Linked DNA regions of Cricetulus griseus. The protein of the gene in region 2 purifies or fractionates together with the protein of the main gene of each other region. This does not show direct contact. Links are inferred from orthologs where the notes say so. Each region holds a gene or a part of one and is shown on either strand. Other genes may lie near its edges.

Region 1 (3,651 bases), on a different chromosome or scaffold from region 2:
CAGAAAACAAGGCCTGGAGCTTCCAGCCCTGGGAGCTCACCGTTTTGCCACCTTTGCCAATGACCCGGCCAGCTGCTGAAGCTGGCACCCGTATGTGGGTCTCCAGCTTTACTTCCTCCTTAGGACCAAAGAAATTCTCTTCTTTTAGTTTGCCATAGATTCTTCCCTGAGCCTAGGGAGAAGAAGTCAGGGTTAAAAGCAGCCATGTATGTTGGGCGGTGGTGGCTCACACCTTTAATCCCAGCACTCGGGAGACAGAGGCAGGCAGATCTCTGAGTTTGAGACCAGCCTGGTCTACAAGAGCTAGTTCCAGGACAGCCTCCAAAGCTACAGAGAAACCCTGTCTCAAAAAACCAAAATAAAAATAAAAAGCAGCCGTGTATCTAAGTGTAAGGCCTTTAGTCCCCTAGCTCCTCTACCTAGGAGGACCAGCCAGCTAAGGCAAGTGGTTGCAAAGCCCTAGTGGGTGACCTTCAACGGTTCTCTGATTATCTGTAATGCTTGAGACCCTCAGATTATGACCCATGAGTAAATAAGTATCCGAGGATTACAGAGGCAAGAGAATCACAAGTGCATAGGCAACCTGGTCTGCAGACCTGGTTCTGGGCCAGTTAGAGTTACAAACTGAGACCCTGCCTTAATCTCTTCCCACCTCCCTCCTGAAAGAGAGAAATGAATATACACTTCAAAGGATGTACTACTTATAGGTTCCAGGATGTGGCAATAACTAGCATGACAACCATGAATGGAGGCAACTGATGCTCCTTGGGTGCCTAGACAGCTACCCGGTACCCAGTCTCCAGCCTCACAGAGATCAAGTGAAGCGATGTAGACATAAAGAGGAGCCGGCATCAAATGCCAACACCTCAGATTCCCTTCCTTCTCACATTCCTGTGTGGACCATGAGGAAGTGAGGGAGGAAGTGGACATGAACAGAAATTAAGCTTAGCAGCACTTTGAAAGCAGCTTCGCAGCTGTGTATCTGTAGAGCCTGGAAGACGTGACAGAAATCTGACAGCAAACAGAAGCCGCCCCAGCCTTTTCCCCGAATGTGTTAAGTTCCCAACCTCCGCTCCCTGTATCCATTGTGAAAATGCAATATGGAACAGACCTTGAACTGTGCCTCTGGGGGTCCAGTAATGATAACCATTCGAACTTTGGAGTCAGGCGTTTCCGGTGGTGCAATCTATAAAGTACACAGTTAGTCAGAGGGGGCTGCTTCCAGAGGAAGATGAAGGCATCTCCATCCCCTAATTCCCTTCCTCTGTCCATTCTGAGAAAGGGAAGAAGAACAAAGAGCCTCAAATCCAAGTTCCTGTATGCACACAGACCTGTGATGAGGGACCTGCCTCTGTGACATCTCCTCAGCAGGACTGCTCCCCACCACCATCCCATCAGAGAGAGGGTCCTTTCTTAGCAGGGTGCTGCCAAGAGGCAGGGACTTATGAGGTGACTACATAGAGAAGGTAGAGGTTTCACCTCTCTTGGGGTCAGGGAGGGAATCACAAAGCTTTAAATGCCATAGAATGAAACCCATCAACCTGGACCCATAGAGTTGACAACAGCACTGGTTTCCTGGATTCTGGATGCAGGGAGGTAAGAACCAGCACAGACATAGTGCTCACTCCTAGGCCCTGCCTGCTTCCTACATCCCACACGTGCAAAGTGAGTCCAGCAGGTGGTGGGGGTATTGGTTTAGAACAGGGCTGGGTCCATTCTATTTTCATAACATCTCAGCCTGCTGTCTTATACTGCTTCTCATATAGCCTAGAAACGTAGTTAGAAGTAGTGAAGACACCCACAGGCGACTGGGCTTTCATTCCCCAAAGTGTGAAGAACTAGACCTGGAAGAACTCACCTTGATGGAGGCGCTGGCGAACCGTGAGAGCTGTTTGATGTGTTGCCCCTTCTTGCCGATGATGGCGCCCACAGCCTGGGCAGGGATGAACACCTGTACCATCTCCTGCTCAGGAGCCTGCTGCCAGGACAAGGGACTCCTTACCAAAGGGCCAGGGAGTAGGGCGAGGCAGAACCCAGGAGCCCCTCTATCCTGCTGCCTTACACATCAGGTCATGGAAGGCTACCACGGACTCTTGAGCTCTCATCCCGCTAAAGGGAAGCACAATCAGTGGGAAGCTGCTCCCACGCCACAGGTGCTTCCGGGCTGGGCTGCTTTCGTGCAGCTGGCCTCTAGCTGCAGGCCTCTCTCACCATCTTGCCAATGCACTAAGCTCTGACTCCCATGGGTCCCCAGTCAGAAGACCGTCCACTTACCATGAAGGAGCTGTAGGGAGCAGCCCCAGTGACGCTGCTGGGCGGCGGAGGGACAGCACTGGATGACGCCGGGAAGAGACCCACAGCAGCCAGGTTGAGACCAGGGATGAGGTGAGACTGCAGCTGGAGGAGAGAGGAGAGACTCAGGTCAGCGCGCCCACAGGCTCCAGGGGGGTGGCCTAGGGTATGGGGTCAACCTGCTGAGGGGGCTGCTGGGCCATAGGATGTGGCTCTGGCTAACCTACAGGAGGAGGCAGGACTCCCAGCTCCTCAAAGAAGTTATTTGCTTTTGTACAAAATCTGCCTGGTGTTGTGGTTTCCCTTGAGCCGTGGAGATCTCCTCATTGGACTAAACTGTATGTTTAAGCAGGTTCTCTAGTTATTTCTATCACACTGATGGAAGCAAAAGAGGCCCATAACCTGAGAATGTAATGCCCCTCTGTGAGAAGCTGAGACAACTTTCCCTTTGATTCCTGGGGCCCCAGTAGTGCTGAAACTTTCTGCTAGGTATCCCATCCCCAACTGCCTTTAGAAGATCAAAATGGGGTTGGGCATGGTGAGAATAAAATTCCAGTATTGATTAATCTCTGTGAGTTAGAGGCTAGCTCTATTTATCAAGTTCCAAACCAGCCTAGCCAGGCTACACACTGAAACACTGTCTCAAACAAACCAGCAAAATCTGCAGGGCATTGGTGGCCCACGCCTTTAATCCCAACACTCGGGCGGCAGAGGCAGGTGGATCTCTGATTTCGAAACCAGCCTGGTTACAGCTCGAGTGCCAGGAGAGGCTCCAAAGCCAGAGAAACCCTGTCTTGAAAAAAAAAAAAAATAACAAAAACAAACAAACAAACAAAAACCACACACACACACACACACAAAAACAAAAAAGCAAAATCAGATGGTAGGGAGAGGGATGATGGTTCAGTGGGTAAGAGCACTGAGGGCCTGAGTGTGAATACCAGCACCCATGGAAATGATCACACATGTGCCTAAGCACAATGGGTTTGGGGGACAGAAACAGGACTGCAGGACATCTGATGTCCCCCTGCCCTCTGCATACACATATGCACACACACAAAAATAAATAAATATAAATCCTGAGTTGGGTATGGTAGCCTCCTGGCACTTGGAGGCCAAGGAGTGAGAACTGAATTCGGTTCTAGCCTACACACTGAAGTCTTATCTCAGAAGAAGTTAAATTATGGCCTTTCTGTCTACCCCAATACAAGTTTTCCTGGAGGAGTATCACATCATCTAGATCAGATTGGCTAAAATACAGTAATCCACGAAACCCAAGATTATGCCCCCAACCCTACATTAGGAGCCAGATGACCAGCCCTGTTGAGTAATACAGTTTACCCATTTCCAGCAGCAGAG
Region 2 (3,751 bases):
TCATCATTCAGCATGTAACTAGGTTGAACACACTGAATGGGATGGGAACACAAACCAAGAACAGTTGATTCTGGAGAAGGTGGAGGAGCCTTGGCAGTTGGAGGCAGCTTCAAGTGGTATTTGTGCTCTGAGACGGGGCCACACAGCATGAGAAAGAGATCTTCTTCCAAGATAAGACAGGGTCAGAGGGTGTAGAGGGTCACCCCAAACTAAGGGCTTCTCATTTAAATCTTTAGAGCCATTTGAACAGCCCAACACAACTCCCCACCCCACCCCAAGACTTCTAATGAGGAGAAGCATGATCTGTATCTTCAAAAGTCAACTTCTGCAGGTGTACAAAGGCAGAGAGAAGAGAAGCAGTAAGTGTGGGAAGCAACTGAGCAAGCACAGGAAAAAGTATGTTTTTCAATCTCTCCCTTTCTAATGTTGCCCTGTGACCTATTCCTGAACACATCCAAATTTGTTTCCCTCAAACCAGTGCTAACAGAAATGTTTCTTATTTCTCTCAGCTTCTTCACAGACCTCCAAGTCACAACACTAAAAAATAACTTTAGATTTATATGTGAGTGTTTTGTCTATACAAATGTATGGGAAGTGTATTTGTGCTTGGTGCCTGCAAGGTCAGAAGAAGGCATGGGATCCCTTAGAACTGGAGTTATTGATGGTTGTGAGCCATCATTCAGGTGCCAGGAACTGAACACACAGGTCCTCTGCAAGAGCAACAAGTGCTCTTGTCTGCCATCTCTCCAGCCCCGCAACATTTTAAAAACCAGACCTCAGCAGTTTTGTACACACACGTTCAGTGTCAATACATTGGGGAATCTCGGACCTGCGTTCAAATCCTGCACTGGCCACTTGAGCGTACAAGATTATCCTAAGCTAAACTTTACTTTCTTCTCTTAAGTGGATATTGAAGTTTTAAAACATGGTGATTGATTATTTGTAATATCATGTATTCCATGTGTGGCATGCACAATCCTGGGATTTTCCTCACATCTTTACGGTTGCCCAGTACTTTCATCCTGCTATTTTACAAGCAGTTCAATATAGCCTACTCGAAAATCTTAGGAGCATCCCACAGAACATCAGAGATAGGGCTGGAAGAACTTTTCTAGAAGGATTATTTAAGGATTTCTCACCTCTGTGTGTGTATCTGTTTGGTGGTGGGGAGAGCAAGAAAGACCCCTAGCAACGCTTGAATTTATTTTTGGTCTTCACAACTGGGAGAAGTGGGAGGCAGAGATGCTAATACTTAGTAGGCAGAAGCCAGTCATGCCATCCAACTTCCTACAATGCACAGGGCAGCCAGGCCCCCACAACCAACCATTATCTGACCTTAACTGTCTGTAGCAAGGAGGTTAGAAGAGCTTTCTCTATCATCGGATCTTGCCCCTTTTAGAGCACTTGGCCATCGGTATCCCACAGGATACACTTTCGATAATGAAAGCTCTGTCCAGCGCAAAAAAGTTCTCCGCCTGCCCTGCACACAGTAGGTGTCAAAACCCATTTTGACATGCTTTAGCAGCAGAAAGACAAGAGAAAAGACCCTCCTTCACTTCCCATTGTTCAACTGCGTGCAATTATATTTTCAATATTTATACATTATTTTACAAACGCAAACGTCCCGAGAACAGCTTTGTTAGAGATGTCGATCAAAATTTGTTTCCTTTTATTTTCTAGGACTTCCACACATACAGAAGAAAGGTTTGCACACTTCTAAAAGGACCTCACGATCCGTCGCGGTGTATCCTGAAAATCGGCCACAAAAGAAATCTGTGGGATTTCCCGAGGGAGCGAGTCCGTGGGCCGTGACCTCTGGGCGCCCAAGGCCCTCGCTCCTCTCTTCCGCCCCCGGATCACCGGGCTTCCGAGACTGACTATGCAGGGCCCCCCAAAGCCTCGGAGCCCGGCCCCCCAAAGCGCGTGCCCACGCCGTGTCCTTCTCCCGCCTCTCTCGCGGGAGCCCAGAGAGGAATCTGGCCCGGGGGAGGCTTGTCGCCGACCTGGATCAAACCGAGTCGGTTTCCCTTCGCCTAGCCACGGCCCACACGCGCGTCTCCGTACCCAGGCCTGGCGCGGCCTGGGGCCTTCGGCCGGTGCAGGCCCGGCGGGCGCCCGCGGGGCTAGGCGAGCTCAGGCCCTAGCGCGGCCTACTCTTTCGGAAGTCGCCGAAGCCACCCGGCCTCACCTGAACACGGGCGGGAAGGCCCGGGGCTCTGCTCCGGGGCGGGCGGCGCGGCGATAACGGCTCCGCACGGCCTCGGTAGCGGTGGTGGAGGCGGCAGAGCGGCGACGGCGACGGCGGCGGCAGCGGCGGCGACGGCGGCGGCTCCTCCTCAGCGCGCACGACCCGCTCCCCGGCCCCGCGGCCAGACACGCCCCTTCTCAGCGCGCTCGTCTATTGGTCGGCGTCTTCGAAGAGCCTGCGCTCATTGGCTAGTATGGCTGTCGAGGTACTCTGGTGCGTGCGGCGGAGGCAGGACTTCCTGTCGGCGCCGCCTGCGAAGGGCTAAAGCGGCCGGTGGAGACTCGGAGTGGCCAGCGATGGCCGTGGAAGGGGCTAGCTGGGGCCAGGCGCGCAGCAGACGCCGACTGGAGCGGAGGCCGAGGAATGGCTCTCCTTGAGGAACGCATGCCGTGTGGTCCTCATCTGACGGGCTGTGCAGCCGCCTACGCCCACAGTAAGCAGTGTGGTCATCGGGAGCCCAGACTAGGAGGGTAGAATCCCTGGTTCGAATCCCGGTTCCTACCGACGTTTCGGTTCCGCCTGAGGTTGAGCACCGGTTGACGTCACTTCGCCTGGCCTCAGTTTTCTTACTAGTGAATTAAGGGATGTGGTCAGCATGGCATTCCCTAAGGCTCTAACGTTGAAATTTATTGGTTTTAAGTTTTTTGTTTTTCAAGTGTATGGGTGGGTTTCTGCCTGCATGTATGTCTGTGCACCACATGCGCGCAGTGCTTACGGAGGTCAAAGAGAATGCCGGTTCCTCTGGACTGTTGTTAGCTGCTATGTGGGCGTTGGGAACTGAACTAGGGTCCTCTGGAAGAGCAGTCAGTGCTCTTAATTACTGAGCTATCTTGCCAGTCCCCGTTCTTTGAAATTTTAAGTATATACTATGTGTCAGCCAGTCAGGCAGTGATTAGAAAACAACTGCCTGTCCCTTTGGGGGCTGCTGTTGTGCGCTAGTGCTATCAGAAAAGTATATGCAAATTGCATGATTAAAAAAGTTCTCTTTGAGCCGGGCGTTGGTGGCGCACGCCTTTTATCCCAGCACTCAGGAGGCAGAGGCAGGTGGATCTCTCAGTTCGAGGCCAGCTTGGTCTCCAGAGCGAGTGCCAGGATAGGCTCCAAAGCTACATAGAGAAACCCTGTCTCGAAAACAACCTCCCCTCCAAAAAAAAGTTCTCTCTGTCTCTCGTGTCTTTTTTTTTTTTTTTTTTTTTTTTTTGCGTGTTTTCTTTTAGTCAGGGTCTTCCTAAATAGCCCTGGCTTGGAACTGTGAACCAGACTGATTTTGCCTCGCAGAGATCTGCCTGCCTCTGCTTCCTGAGTGCTGGATTTAGAGGTGATGTGTATGTTTTTGAGACAGGGTCTCATGTGACCCAGGTTGGTCTTCAACTCGATATGTAGCTAAGGATGTTGGTGAAATGGTCCTTCTGCTTCCGTCTCTCAAATTCTAGGATTACAGGCCTGCAACACCACAGCTGGCCATGTAACCTTTTAAAGATAGTTTTATGAAATTTGAAAACT

The links. The genes of interacting proteins can lie anywhere in the genome.
Region 1: the proteins of Elavl1 (region 2) and Igf2bp1 purify together in Homo sapiens (co-immunoprecipitation; 3 studies listed by BioGRID and IntAct, with this or other methods). This does not show direct contact. The link is inferred for Cricetulus griseus from reciprocal best matches to the Homo sapiens genes ELAVL1 and IGF2BP1.

Annotation. Positions count from the first base shown.
Region 1 is NC_048600.1:109,104,641-109,108,291, forward strand, and holds part of Igf2bp1 (insulin-like growth factor 2 mRNA-binding protein 1), read right to left. Parts: intron 2,398-3,651; coding exon 2,275-2,397; intron 1,979-2,274; coding exon 1,859-1,978; intron 1,187-1,858; coding exon 1,112-1,186; intron 173-1,111; coding exon 41-172; intron 1-40. UniProt on the Homo sapiens protein: RNA-binding factor that recruits target transcripts to cytoplasmic protein-RNA complexes (mRNPs). This transcript 'caging' into mRNPs allows mRNA transport and transient storage.
Region 2 is NC_048597.1:89,140,290-89,144,040, forward strand, and holds the start of Elavl1 (ELAV-like protein 1), read right to left. Parts: upstream 2,351-3,751; 5' UTR 2,189-2,350; intron 1-2,188. UniProt on the Homo sapiens protein: RNA-binding protein that binds to the 3'-UTR region of mRNAs and increases their stability.